Linked DNA regions of Ovis aries. The protein of the gene in region 3 purifies or fractionates together with the protein of the main gene of each other region. This does not show direct contact. Links are inferred from orthologs where the notes say so. Each region holds a gene or a part of one and is shown on either strand. Other genes may lie near its edges.

Evidence for each region. Proteins that work in one complex are often made in the same cells at the same time.
Region 1: the proteins of TUBGCP3 (region 3) and LGALS3BP purify together in Homo sapiens (affinity purification with mass spectrometry; 4 studies listed by BioGRID and IntAct, counting the BioPlex papers as one, with this or other methods). This does not show direct contact. The link is inferred for Ovis aries from reciprocal best matches to the Homo sapiens genes TUBGCP3 and LGALS3BP.
Region 2: the proteins of TUBGCP3 (region 3) and NEDD1 purify together in Homo sapiens (affinity purification with mass spectrometry; 3 studies listed by BioGRID and IntAct, with this or other methods). This does not show direct contact. The link is inferred for Ovis aries from reciprocal best matches to the Homo sapiens genes TUBGCP3 and NEDD1.

Annotation. Positions count from the first base shown.
Region 1 is NC_056064.1:52,761,442-52,766,570, reverse strand, and holds the end of LGALS3BP (galectin-3-binding protein), read right to left. Parts: intron 4,420-5,129; coding exon 4,167-4,419; intron 2,122-4,166; coding exon 1,089-2,121; 3' UTR 511-1,088; downstream 1-510.
Region 2 is NC_056056.1:166,700,265-166,705,013, reverse strand, and holds the end of NEDD1 (protein NEDD1), read right to left. Parts: intron 2,617-4,749; coding exon 2,550-2,616; intron 2,105-2,549; coding exon 2,000-2,104; 3' UTR 1,040-1,999; downstream 1-1,039. UniProt on the Homo sapiens protein: Required for mitosis progression. Promotes the nucleation of microtubules from the spindle.
Region 3 is NC_056063.1:85,558,064-85,563,192, forward strand, and holds part of TUBGCP3 (gamma-tubulin complex component 3), read right to left. Parts: intron 4,048-5,129; coding exon 3,875-4,047; intron 3,167-3,874; coding exon 3,048-3,166; intron 2,450-3,047; coding exon 2,324-2,449; intron 1,374-2,323; coding exon 1,305-1,373; intron 960-1,304; coding exon 827-959; intron 345-826; coding exon 178-344; intron 1-177. UniProt on the Homo sapiens protein: Component of the gamma-tubulin ring complex (gTuRC) which mediates microtubule nucleation.

The DNA.
Region 1 (5,129 bases), on a different chromosome or scaffold from region 3:
ACCCTTCTGCCTGACCCTCCACATTGTGGGTGTCCTTTATTTGTGCTCAAGCACCCCATTGGTGGCCTTCTACGTTCTTTGCAAATTTCCACTTCTACAAACAATGCTGGGACGAGAATCTCTGCCCCCTTCCCTGTACACAAGTGGGAAGATTGATGGGGCCAAGATTCCGATCACCTACTGATCCTTCTCCCTGGAACACACACACCCTCCTGCCATTTCCCCCACGCCTGCTGCCTCGCACGCTTCATTTCTCCACTGAGATCCACTAAAGTAGCTCCAGCCCGTGCCTCCCACCTTCCTTCCTCTGGTTTCCATCACCCATTATTCCCGCTGGTCCTCACCCCAAGTGTTTGCTTACTTGTAATGGCCTGTCTCACCTACAAGACCACAGCAGCTTCACGGGGAAGGGACCACACTGGCTCATTACTGGATCCCAGGGCCTAGCGCATCATCCTCTGTCTCAACACCCTATGGACTCATCAGCCCATTCTGCGTGAACAAGAGAACTTGGGGGAACCACAGTACAATTTTAATGATCTCAGATAAGGGACAGCAGAGGGTGGAGAAAGTGAAAGGCCAGGTAGGAAACCCAACAGCTCCTGGCTCACATCTCATTGCTTCCCAACAAATTAGCTGTGCAGTTGAAGTGGGAGTTCTCAGCTTGTGAGTGCACTAGTTGAAGGAAGGAAGGAAGTGTTAGATGCTCAGTTGTGTCCAACTCTTTGCAACAAGTTGTCTCTGACTCTGAGACTCCGTGGACTGTAGCCTGCCAGGCTCCTCTGTCCATGGGATTCTCCAGGCAAGAATACTGGAGTGGGTTGCTATTCCCTTCTCCAGGGGATCCTCCCAACACAGGGGTTGAACCCAGGTCTCCTACATTGTGGGCAGATTCTTTACCATCTGAGCCACCAGGGAAGTCTGCAGTAGCTGAAGTCTTCCAGTAATTTCCGTAAGCTCAGAGAGATCAAGGGAAGCAGGGGGGCCACCTGGTGGCCGGTGGTTGGAGGTGGCTGCAGAGAGGATGTGGAGGGGAGGAAGGTGCCCAGCCTCTGGGCTCCTGCCCACCCCGACCTCCAGCCTCGAGTCTAGTCCATGCCCGTGGAGTTGGTCAGGTAGAAGGGACGGATGACGACTTGGAACCTGCTGAAGAGCCCTGCCGGGCAGGGGAAGAGGGAAGTGCTCCTGGAGCTGTTGGTACCCAGGGCACTGGGGATCAGGGCCTTCCAGCCCTTGAAGTCGATGACGTCTGCCACAAAGCTCCCCTCACAGTGCAGCAGGGCCCGGTTTTCATAGCCAATGGTGGGACTGGAGTAGCTGGACTTGGAGAGAGCCAGGAGTGGGGGGTCATCGGAGGAGCACGAGAACCCGTAGTTCCAGCAGCTCTGGAGGGTGGGGAGGTAGACTAAAGACCAGGAGACGGAACTGGCCTGGAAGAGGAAGCTGGGGTGCTGGGGCGTCTGGAAGGACCGGTAGGGGTTGTAACTGGAGCTCATCACAGACTCGCTCCAGGTGGGCGAGGTATAAAGCCGGGGCTGGTAGGCGTCCTCGGTGAGGTTCAGGCCCCAGTACTGAGCCAGCAGCTCGAAGGGCACGGTGTGGAACTCCAGGGCCTGTAGTATCTTCTTCTGGAGGAGCGCCTCGTGACTCCAGTACAGGGACAGGTTAAACTGCAGCGAGAAGAGGTCCCGGGGTGGCATCATGGGGAACCGCACCTTCTCCACCAAGCCCTCCACTTCCTTGTGGGAGGTGCTCCTCTCCCGGCTCCACTCGTCCACAGCCCGCAGCAGGACCAGCTCGCTGGGCACCACTAGTTCGGTCCTGGAGAGCAGGTCTTGGAGCAGGCCCGGGGGGACGCTCAGCCAGGCCTCGGCCTGCGTCAGGGCCCCGAAGTTCCAGGCCAGGAACTGCACGCAGATCTCCTCCAGCACGGGGTCCCGGGTGGCCAGGGCGTAGGCGTAGAGCTCCAGGGGTGTCCGGAAAGAGGGGTCCTGGGGGATGAGGATGGCAAAGAGGTGCCCGCAGTAGCTCTGCAGCTGCTCGGCCTGGTAGGCAGAGGCGAGCTTGTGCAAACACTTCACTGACGACAGAGACACATCGATCCTCCGGGAGTAGAGGTACCTGAGGGGAGACGAGGGCTGACGCCTGGCTACACCCCTTCTCCCGAAGGACGACAGGTGTGCCCCGGTGCAGGTGTCTGGCTGACTGCTGATCCCCGGGGTGCCAGCTATTTCAGGGGGCATTTGGAGCCCCCTGACTTATCTCCTGAGTCAACCCCCATTCCAAGCTATGTGGGCCGAGAGCCAAGTGCATAGGCAGCTGGGCGGACCCCAGACACCCTGAGGATGTTGCTTCGTCCTCACTGATGGGGACGGTCCCGCCACCTCCTCCATCATCACCGTCATCTTCATGGGCTGGGCCCCGACACCAGGACCCGCTGGCCATCCGGGGCTCTGCCCTTCCCTCTCCCCTGTCACACCCCTGGGCAGAACTCTTGATTTCCCCACTGGGTGCCCATGGGTGCCCCTCTGCCCCAGCACCTGTCTGGTGCCCCCATGACATGGGCATCATCATGGGTCACCTCCTGTCTGCCATCCCTGCCAGCTGTGAGCCCTGTGGGTGGCACCCAGTCTATGCCACCCACCGTGTAACTCAGTGTGCCACCAGGAGGCACTTTGCTCATGAAGACACGTGTGGAGGGAGCCTGCTGGGAGGGGAAACGCCAGGCAATGGCCCCTGCCGTCTCCTGGGAGATGGTGAATGGGGCCCTGCTTTGGAAAGAACCAAACTCTGTCCACCACTTCTCTCGAATGACGAGCCTTCCAGGGAGCCTCAGACTTGCTGGCTTCCCCATCACTTGAACACGGAGCCTCGGGTGCCCAGAAAGGAGCCGGGACCCCACAGAGTCCAGTGGCAGCAGCAAGGGTGGGCCGGTCCTCGTCCCACCTGCCGCTCTGCCCTGATGTGCTCAGTACATCCTGTGATTCTGTTGCTGAATGTGAACTCGAGAACCAAAATGGTCATCTGCACCACGTGGGGGCTGCCGGGCAGAGGGAAGGGGAGTGGGGGGTGGTGTAGGCAGTGAACCAGGGTCTCCAGAGACCCTCTAGGGCCTGGGTGGGGCTCATTGCTGCCTCTCTGCCTTAGAGGAGGGAGAGAGACAGAGAGAGAGGGAGGGAGCGAGAGACACAAAGATACAGGGCAACAGGAAGATAGAGATGGAGTGAGAGGCAGAAGGAGACAGGAAGGCAGAGAGAGACAGAGAGAGCAAGCTGGAGCACATGGCTAGACAGTCCAGAGAACCGCTGACTCTGACCGAGGGCGGTGACTGCCGAGAGGCTGGGACCAGGCACAGACGCATCACAGACCTCAGCCCTGCTGGGAGGGGCGCAGGACAGCGGCCAAGCTCTCATCCTCGGCTGAAAAGACGCCATTTAATCTTTTTAAACTGCCATTTGCTGTTTCCTCTTAAATGTCACTTTCGGCTAGCTACAACTTTGGGTCATGAGAGGGAACAGCTTTTCATACACTTGGTTCTCTCTTTAAGTTGATGCTCCCAGAACGCCAGTCCCTGGAAAGCCCGCCCGATGTGGTGACATAGAGACCCCCCAGCAGGATGGTCTGCAGGGGAAGGGGCCTCGGGGGCCACTCTCAACTGGGAGATGGGCTCCCAGCGTGGATGGCCCGCTGGTTAGACTGCCGCCTGGACGGTGCCACCTGGGAATTTTCTCCCCACTTTCTTCCGGCAGCAGACTTGGATTCCTGTTTCTTTAAAAAAAACTTTTGCAGGAGCAGATCAGTGAGGTGAAAAGAGGAAGAATGACTTTGATAGTTTTTTTGGGTGCTTATGACACCCGAGAGACAGGTGTGGTGTGCGTGTGTGTGTGTGTGTGTACGTGTGAGGGCTGACCCATTTCTCACAGTCCCTGTGGAAAGAATACATAAGAATGTGTGTGCAAAGGTGAGGACGTGTGGCTGTGAAAGTGAGTGTGCACACGTGTGGGTGTGTGAGCATGTGTGCGCACAAGTGAGAGAGCACGTATGTGGTTGCCCTCGCGTGTGTTCAGGTGAGCACAGCTGCGGTTGGTGTCGCGTCCCTCGTCCCTGGGGTTTTCCTTTGGCAGGGACGCTGCCCGGTCCCTGGGCCCGGCCCCGAGGCCACTCACCTGATGAAGTCCTTAACGGTGGGCACACACTCAGCATCCACCTCCATGGTGACCCTACTGCCCGGCTCCTTCCACAGGCCATGGGCCTCGGGGTTGGTGGACAGGATCAGCTTGTGGGCGCAGATGGCCAGCTCGTCCTCCTCACGCACCTTCACCCTGATGAACAGGTCACAGCCCTTCTGGCTCTCAAAGATCTGCTCTAGAGCCGCGGGGAGCTCGCCGGATAGGTCGAGGGTGTAGACACCTCTGGTTTCTATGGAGGGGGATGCATGTTAGGAGGGGCCCCGGCACTCGCTTCCTCTGTGACCCGAAAACACAGAGTTTTGCTCCCCGGAGTCAGATTCTTCCCTTAAACTGTGGATCCTGCCTTATCAGCTCAGAAAGGCTTCTGGGGAGATGAGGAAAGAACAGCCCTGGAACACAGGGTGCCGTCGCCCCCCGTGGCCCAGAGCCCCACCCCGTCAAACACCCCTATGTTGTAGCTCACCTGCCCCCCCAACATTCAGATGGCACATCTTGGGGGGATCTGGAGGGGCTGACTTCCAGAACTTGGGGTCCTATCCCAATCAGTCAGTCAATCAATCACCCAGATGTGACTGTCTAAAACCTGAACCTCCTGCCTCGTCTGGTCTGAAGAGTGTCCCACGGCAATGTGGTTTAGAGCTCTGGGGTCCTTGGCAGCCTCCTACAAGGGACTGAGGCCTAGAGAAGCTCCTGGAAGTTCCCAGCCTGGTTTGGAGGTGATGCACCCCCTTTCCCAGCAGAAACAGAAGGCTGCCGATTCAAGGGGTGAGCCTGCAGTGTGCAGACGTGGGGTGCACAGGCACCTCGCTTCGCTGTGCGTTGCCATGTTTCTCAGAAACTGAAGGGTGCGACAGTGTCTTGCTATTTTTCTTCTGATGACATTTGCTCACTTTGCGTCTCTGCGTCATGGTTTGGCAATTCTCAGTGATATTCGATGTT
Region 2 (4,749 bases), on a different chromosome or scaffold from region 3:
TATTTGAAAACTATTTCGAGTATTTTGTGTCTTCTTAAAATTTAGTTGCATTGTGTAAATCTAATCTCCTATTATTCTATTTTGGCTAGAGGCTAAAATTCAATTTCTGATTTCATCTCTTATTATTCTATTTTGGCTAGAGGCTAAAATTCAACTTCTGATTTCCCATTTTTACCATTTAAAATTTAACTTTTTTTTACTTATTTAGCTTTTAAATTCCATGACAAAAAATGTTTCATCTTATGCATAAGGTTACCAAAATTATTATATTTATCTAACTTCTTTTAATATACATTATGTGCATTTATAGAAAAAGGCAACAGGCAAATACTAACGGATAACGCAAAACACATTTTTATGTCTTCTAAATCTGTTTGATAATGATATGTGACAAAACTTGTTACAAGCCATAATGCTTTCATTACCTGTCAGGAAAAAAAGATTATATTAGCATCCCTTTATGCTTTGTGTGCTAAGTCACTTCAGTGTCTCCAACTCTCTGTGACCCTATGGATTGCCGTCTACCAGACTCCTCTATCCATGGGATTCTCCAGGCAAGAATACTGCAGTGGGTTGCCATGCCCTCCTCCAGGGGATCTTCCTGCCTCATGGATTGAACCTGGGTCTCATGTCTCCTGTACTGGGAGGTGGGTTCTTTACCACTGGTGCCACCTGGGAAGCTCCCTTATGCTTTAATACAAATGTATTCCACTAAGACAAAGTAATTTATTTCTTGAAATAATTATTAGTATTTTACACTTACTAAATGTATCCTTAAAATCTTTCATCACCTGGAAGGAAAAAGTTAGTAATCCAGCTAGACTTCTTTTTTATTTTAGTAAATACTTTCATCTCAAAAGTTAAAATTGAGCAGGAGTGCTATATACAAGGTATAGTTTAAATCTCTGGGACAAGAGACTATAAGAGGTAAATAAGCCAGCTGCCCTCTTAATCTTATACCACTAAAAATGTAGATCATAGCATGTTAACATTCATATATTGTCAGAGGTGTATATTCTTTTGACAATTAACCTTCCTGTTTTAAAAAAAATTTTTTTTTATTTTATAGTGGGTCAATAATATAAAAGTATTACACACAGCACAAAAAAGAATTAAAGGAAGTTAATGATATAAACCACAAAACAAAATAAACCATACCTCATTTAGGAGGAGAAAAAATGGACTAATACTGTAATACTTAGTATAATATGAAATTTTCACTAATTATTAAGTGGAATTATATTGACTGAAACATTATAGTATAAATTTTATGCTGTTAATTAATGAAATAAGCAGATACACAGTTCTGGTTGAGTCTTATAAACCCTTAAAAGTTTTCATAGGTAAAATTAACTACAAAATATCAACCAGAGTAGAGATTAGTTAGAAGTATAAAAGAATAATGCAATAGATATAATGTGATCTGTGCAATTCAAAATCTGAAAATTTTCTTATCAAATGTACAAGTAATAAATAATAGTTATACTTGACTTCACCAAGTTAACAAAATAATTACTAACCAACTTTGTGTTTTATTAGTCAATTGCTTAGAAACACAAAACATCAATTAAACTTACTTTCTCCATAAAAATAGAAGGTATATCAAACTCTTTAATCATTAAACATCCAAAAAAATTTGGAAGGCAACTGTCAACCAAAAATATTATGTTTAGAAAGGATGATTAAAAAACATACATAACCTATTTTTTTGCACAATTTTTTCATGAAAAAGGGCACTTAGTGTATAGCTAAAGCTTTCATAAAATAAAGATTCTGTTGGCTTTCCTTTTAGGCGGACGACATAGTGTACAGTTTTTAATATAAAAATATAAATATATTTGACAGAAAAGATGAAATAGTGAATGGTATAAAATCCCATCACCCTTTGACTGAAAAACACTTTTTCTCCCAGAGGTTATGGAAACAATACTGATTTCATGTAGTTCTGTGTTGTCAGAACCTTCCCAAATTACAAAACATCAAAGTATTCACTGAAATTTCAAAAGTGTGCCCGCAGTCTTTTGTTTTCTTCTCGTAGTCTTTCAATTTCTGCCACTAAACCTTCATTCACTGAGTATCTTTCCAACAAAGAGTGCATTTCATTCTAGAAAAGGGGGAAAAAATTTTTTTTAATTACTGGCATTTCACATTTATTTGACATTGTTTTACACATTTTCAGCTATCATTTTTCTCATGTTCAGTTAACTGAGTAATTTTTTTTTCAATTTAACCACCCTTACTACTTTGCTAATATAAATGAAAGAGCACTGGTAAAATTTACGTATTTGGAAAGTTTACATTTCCACATTTGGAAAGGTTTTTGTTTACTTACAGCCAAAAAAAAAAAAAAAGCTGTGAAAAAAGTAGCCTTAACTATCATAGGTTATAAAGAAGGGTGACTAGTTAAAATCTATTTTATTTACTAAATTTCTAAAACGCTCTTTTATTTCTTAGCAATTAGATATAACCAAGTAAGAATACGTCACCCTTTCATGGACTTTTTAGATCCACAGCTATGCTCACTTACAATAAAACATGTCAATACATACCAATTGCATATGAAACTGTTTAATCATCTCCACTTGCAAATTCACAATGTCCCTATGGCATGCTTCTCTAGGGGAAAACATATAATATTTATTAGAATTAGAACAGTTTTACCAATTCTAGAATCACTCAAGAAAATGACTATACTCTTATTATTTCATGTTACTATTAACAATTATTATAATAGTAAAAATACCACTGCACCTAGTATTTATTTACTATGTGCTAGGCTCTGTGTCTTCTACTTCAGATGTAAGAACTCATTTAATCTTAGAATTACTACCTCTATTTTACACATGTAACTGAATCACAGAGAAGTTGTAACTCAACCAAAGTCACACAACTAGTATATGTTAGAGCTAGGATATAAACCCAGCTGTCTACCTCCGGAACTCCCATTACACTACATTCCTTAATATAGAAATCATCATTAAGGAAAAGATATAGGTTTATATTACAATGAAACACAGACAATGCTCTAGGTTACAATGTTTAACTATTATCAACGTTTAAGCTATTGAAAAAAAACAAACAAACTTCCAGCAGAATGCAAAGAGCCTATTTATAACAGAGGTTTACTCAGTAAAATGCAGTTAAGTCATGCCTGCAAAACCATAAGAGTAGGAATTCCCAGGTGGCCCGGTGGTTAGGGCTCTGGGCTTTCACTTCTATGGCTAGGGTTCAACCCCTGGTTTAGGAACTAAGATCCCACAAGCCATGTTGCATGGCCAAAAAGAAAGAGAAGACATAAAAATTATGAAATGTAACAATAAAAGGAGTATCTGTGTGTCACCTGCCACAGAAATTATGGGCTAGAACATAATGAAAATCACAGAAGCTTCCTGTGGTGCTCCTCACTTAACTCTTGAGAGAAGCCCAAGAAAGAAGTCACTACTCTCTGGAATTTGTTTGAGCAAAGAAATGTTTTCTAAAAAATATATATGTATTTATATATTTTTGCATAACATAGAATCTGTAGTCAATGTATTTTTGTTATGCTTGCTTTTGAGCATTACAAAAAGGGTACCATATCCTATGTAGCCTTGAGTAGTATACAGTTAAAAATAATCCAGTATCATGTTTTCAAGGTCATATTCTATTTATCTATAATTCATTGATCTGTACTAGTGTACATTCTTCTGTCAAATTGAACTGTTTTTTTAAGTGTTTATTATTAAAATGTTGTAACAATAATGTATATGTCTTCCAACCCACATGTGCCAATTTATGTGGATAATATATCCAAGATGTGTTGAGTCACAGGTATGATCGAAAGGTACACTGTTCAAACTTACAAAATAATAGAAATTATTTTCCGAAGTTGTAGTATTAATGGACATGCTCATCATCAGAATAAGAAGAGTTCCTCTAGCTCTACATCCACACCAAGACTTGGTGTTGCCAGACTTTTTACAAATGTGTTTCCATCTACTGGGTGTGAAATGGTAACCAATTCCATTTTCAGTTCTCTGGTTAATTTGCAGGGCTGAGCAACTTTCCCTATGTTCATATACTATTCTTCAGTGAAATGCTTGTCTATGTTTTTAAACTATTGTTCTATTGAATATCTTAAAAGAAATTATTCATAACAGTTCTTTACATAATCTAATCCTCTATTGGTTATATGAGTACTGCAGATATCTGTTGTCTTTTCATTTTATTAATGGTGTCCTGGATGAACGCTTACTACTGACATTCTCAAATTACTAACCTAATATTAATGTAAATTTACCAATCTATTTTTATAGGTAATGTACCCTCTTATATTTAAGTAACTTTCTAAACCTGAAGTCATATATAAATTCTTCTACAATGCCTAAATTTTTTCCATTTCTATTTAAACTTTTACTCTGTACAGAACTGATTTTTTAAATAACATGAACAGGGATCTATACATTCCCTCTGTGATAGATCACATTTCCACATATATGTATATAAGGGATACATTATATGGGATACATATATGCTTCTTTGGGATACATTTGATTCCTTTGCAAAATCTGTCCACTCTGTGCTAATGCTACACTATTTTAATTATAGCTTATCTATCTGACAAACTAGTCCCTTTCAACCTTATTCTCTGGTGCCTTGGTTATTCCCAGATCTTCCGTTTTTCATACACAGTTTGGAATTATCTCATCATCTTCTTCCAAAAAATCCAGTTGGGATTTGACTGGAATTGTGTTCAACCTTGTAGACTAA
Region 3 (5,129 bases):
AGAGACGCCTGCAAGCCCGGCCCAAGGGTGCGCCCTGCGCCTCGCTGCTTTGAGACACCGCAGGCCCAGCCCATGGGTGCACCCAGAGCCCTGCTGCTCTAAGATACCGCGGGCCGCCTCACCCCGGGGCGCGCCCGGCGCCCCGCTGCTCTAAGGAGACGCCGCGGGCCGCCTCACCTCGTGGTGCGCGTCCTCCAGCTCGCCGTCGTAGATCCAGCGGTACAGAAAGCTCAGGACGGGGTGTGACACCAGGCTGAGGATGTGCTGCACCAGGGACCGCATGGATGGGTCCCCTGTCTTGGTGTAGGCGTGGACGGCCGAGGCCAGCTCGCCTCCCTTCCTTCCTGGGGACACAGAAGCCACCGTGAACACAAACGCTGAGGCCGAGGCGCAGAGACAAAGCGAGGAGGAAGAGGCCAGGGGCCCCCGGCCAGGAAAGCATGCGCGCTGCGCAGAGCGCCAAGCCCCAGGCTGGAGGTGGGAGAGGCCCAGGCAGACGCACGCACGGGGGCGAGCAACACGGCTGCTGAGCCAGACCTGGGGCCAAGGGGGGGCGGGGGAGGCCGAGGAGAGGCCGCAGAGTAAGGGCAGACGCGTCTCCGGAGCACAAGAGGCCTCAGGGGACCACACCCCCACGCCTACTTCATCTCAGGGAGGTCCTGAGCGCCACGAGCGTAAACCCTGGCCCACGGGCTCTCCCCCTGGAAGTCCAAGTCTATCCACCTGTCTTTGGTAGCACCCTTCCGGCTGCCATGCATACAGGGCAGACACAGAGTCAGGCCTCAGTGACCCTCCCTACAGCTGCCTTGAAACCGCGCAGAATGACCTTGGCAGTGGTCCACCAGGGCCGCCAGGGTCTTTAGTCTTATCTTGGGGTCATACGTCCACACCAGGAGGCGCCGGAGCGTCAAGCTGCTCTCGAAGCCCAAATTCACACCCTGATCGTCCTCCAGCTGCAGCTGAAAAACGAGAACAAAAGAACGGCTGAGTACAGCCACCCAGGAGCCCTAACCCACGTCTTAACCCACGTCAAGTCCCGGGGAAGGGGTGATCCTCACGTAAACGAGACAGAGGGCCTCTGGGAGAGGACAGCTCCTTCAAGATACAGGAGGTCTGCCTCAGGCCGACAGGACCCTGAAAGCGAGCCGCAAGCTGACTCCAGGACACACCACAGCTCTACAGGGGCCCAACCCTTCCACCAGGACCATCACACCTTAAAATTAGCGTAGGAGGAAATGCAGGGATTCTGGAGAGTGGAATTCTGTGACATTTCAGATCGTGATGAAATAAAAACAAGGGCTTACCTGGGAGTGCAGGACGGAGAGCAGCCGGTAGTACTCCTTGAGTTCCTGGTGCAAGGCCGCGCAGAAGCTCTGTGGAAAGAGAGGCAGGTCGTGGTCGCTGCGCTCAGGACAGGCGCCACCCAGCTGCGAAGGACGGCCCTCAGACGCGCCTGCTTCTGTCCACAGAGCTCGTGCAGGTGAACCACCTCAACACACGGACTCAACGGTGTCAGGGGCCGTCTCAGCACGGGCTTTGCAGGAGCACAGCGGAGGCGCAGCGCCGTGCTCATAACCTGCAGGGCGTTTCCTCCCTCCACACACTGATGCTGTATTTTTAGCTATATGCCTCTTACTCTGGCTCATGGAAGTACCGTTGATGTACAATGCCACGTCAGCTTCAGGTGAACAGCAAAGTCGGGGAGACCCCCTGAAGGGGGGAATGGCACCCCACTCCAGTGCTCCTGCCTGCGAAACCCCATGGACAGAGGAGCCTGGCGGGCTGCAGTCCGTGGGGTCACGCTGAGTCGGACACGACAGAAGCAACTTAGCGCACACACACACACACACGCACACACGCACACGCACACGCATGCACACGCACACGCATACACACGCGCACACACACACACGCACACGCACACACGCACACACACACGCACACGCACACACCCGAGTCACTTTGACACACACTTCACACACGACACTGTAAACCAACTGTCCTTCAATTAAACAAAGTTTAACTGAGAGAATTTTAGGTCAAAGGGAAGTCATTAAAATACGTAAAGTGACTCAGACAGGTCAGCGTTCCTAAACACTCGTTAAACATTAGAAGTTTCCTGGTCGATCACCTGTGTCAATATTTACTGTGCTTTCTATTTTCTTGAGAGGACCGTGGCTGACAAAGTGCATCATACCAAACCTGCTTCATGTAAAAAGGACCCGCCTCAGGATGACTTTCACGTGAGGTTCTAAGGAGACGAAGCGCTTCCTGAGGCGAGCGCCGCCCGAATCCCCAGGCGTCTCGCTACCGAAGCACACACCTGGCCGACAAGCCCAAACGAGCGGTCCAGGCTCCTCTGGTCCGTGTACTTTCTGATCTTGTTGTGCAGCCACCCCAGCTCGGCCAGTCTCATAGCCGTATCCCGCAAGGACTTGTTCAGGTTTGCCTAAAAAGCAAACACGTCCACAGCTAAAAAACTGCTTTTAACGCTGGAATTTTATTACTTTTTTTCCAACCACTTGCACTTTTATGTTTGTGATTCTCAGGCTTCAACACAAGAAACTTAAAGATCACCAACACACCACCCTGACATGAGGACAGTGAGGCCTGGGACACAGGCCGCGCCCTGGCGCAGACAACGCGTCAGGCGGGAGGGCCGCCACCCCCAGGAGGGCCCGGCGTGGCAAGGGCCGTCTGTGAGGCCAGCGGCCTGAGCCTCAGCCAAGAGACGCAGAAGGACAGATCGTCAGCAAGATGGACTGTGAGAAAGGCAGGCTCCGGAGGAAGCAAAACTGGGCGAGAGCGCCTCACGTGGGACCTGTGTCGGAGCACAGATGCCAGGACAGCAGTCCGGCAGGTAAGCCTGGCACCGGCACCACAGGAGGGAGGAGGTGAGCACGGAGGACGAGCCGGTACGGGGGCCAGGACCTCGCCTGCAGACCACCCGCGTCAACGAGCAGCACCTCCCAGACCAGCGGCTCCCACCTGGCCCTGGGGACAGTCACCCTGACTCGTGAGGGCTGCAGCGGGTCAGGGCACCGTACCTTCCCCTCCACTTTGTAACAGTTGTCAGCGCTGCTCATCTTGATGTTCCTGCCGTCTATGCCCTGGAAGACGTACAGGATGTCTCTGACGAGGGCCGCCTCGGTGACCTCCACAGCACCTGCAACGCGGTTTCCGTGCGGTGAACTGCTCGACACAGCTCGCCCCAGGTGATGTGTTCGCAACCAGAACAAAACTTAAAAGCTAACTGAGTTTAAGATGGAAAAGAATATGAAGTTATATTTTTTAAAAACACGGACTTTCTGAAGAGCATCTGGAGAGCATGTGGTTTGTCTTCCAAAAGCCCTTTTTTCAAAGAGAAAGCAATCCACGGGAGTTTAACACATGATCCAGGGGCAGCACAAGCCAATCCCAGAGGGGTGGGTAACCGCTTCATGTGGTGTCAGAGACCTGACTGACCACGCAGCAGGCGTGTAAGCCGGGCTCCATCCCCACCAGGCCACAGGCATTAACACACCGGAGAGGGTTTACGAGCCCCACAAACCCTGGAACAAAGGCCAGCTCAGAGCGTGGCTGTCACCCAATATCACAAGAAGGCAAGGCCCAGAGAGGCGAGGTTCCAGTGGGAGAGGCCCCGTCCGAGCACAGCCAGGTAATATCGCCCCAGCACGGGGCGACCCTCCACAAACACCAGATAAACAGAAACAGGCCGGCCGGGAGGAGGAGGAGGGTGCACACCCAGAGCCACGCCCGGCAGTCGTGAGCGCAGGTGGGGCTGGGTGACAAGGCCAACACAGGCACCCCCACGGGGCGCACGGGACACTGTCGGCTGCAAACCCCGGAAAACCCAGAGCCCGTCCTCACTCACCGCCTGCATCCCCGTCTCTCCGTGGCCGAGTCACGCTGCGGGAAGTCGCACTGGGGACGCCTTTGGAGGTAGTGGTTTGTAAGGAAGGCTGGCTTGCAGTCAACGTCCATGCCAGACGGGCGCCCAGCTGCTGCCGGAGACAGTCGCCCGTCCCTGGGCCCGGGTGAGACTGTCTGAAAAGAGGAGGTGCCTGCTGGGTCCGCACGCCGGGCTAGTCACAGAGGTCGCTGAGACGCTGCAGACACGCTCCCTGAGTCACCACACTGAGCCACTGGCCCGGGTGAGCCCGAGACCCGCGCGGCTGTCCCTCCCCGACTGCGGCCCCCGGGCTCCTGCCTCCTGCACAGCCCTCCCGGCTCTGTCACAGGCCGACCCGGCTGTGCCTGCAAACACCCACATACACTTCCAGCTCAGAGCACTCTAGGGTTCACTGCTGATTTTACCCTGGAAACCCATCCACGTTTGCTGAGTAAAAACCGATGACACCGCCCCCTGCCCTGTCTATCTCTCAGCCTTCACAGCACTTGACGCAAACAGTGGGATCTGCAACCAGCGTCACACACAGCAACATCAACCGCAGGGAGAGGCCACCCCCGTCAGGACGGCGCTCAGTGACGCCCGCGGGCAGCCCACCAGGGAGTTCCACAAGGACCCGGAGACAGCCCTTCCCCCAGCCCGCCCCCGGCAGGGGGGACACTGATCCGACGATGGTTCTGAGTACAGTTCCAAATTTAAGAGAAAGTCTAAACGACCACTTCAGTTCACGGTTCTCTATGCCGCTTTTTCAATATCATGACAGTAATTATTTCAACTACTTATATTAAAGGCGAAAACAAGAAAGTGTGTTTCAGCCAGACTCCTTCAGCCAGAATGGGAGTCTGAGATTAGATTTGGGGGTACATGGTGCTGTCTTTATAAAGTCCTAGGCTCTGTCTGTAATCCCCGTGTCTGGACACACGTTCTGTCTTCCAGTAACTCCAACAAACTTTCACCTGACTGACCCAGTGACAGGCGCGTCGCCGGGCCCCGCCCACGAGGGAAACACCGTCTGAAGGTGGCTGCGCCAGCCCACTCCCAGTTCCCACCAACCAAGGCACCGCACACCTCCCCGCGAGCCGGCCCTGCCGCAGCAGCTGCGTTACCAGTCAGGAGGCAGCCGACCCAACGGTCAACGCAGACGGGAGCGACCCGGAGGGTGTGCTTAGACAGCTGACTCCCACCAGAGCACGTCAGACCCAGGGCCGAGACACCCCGG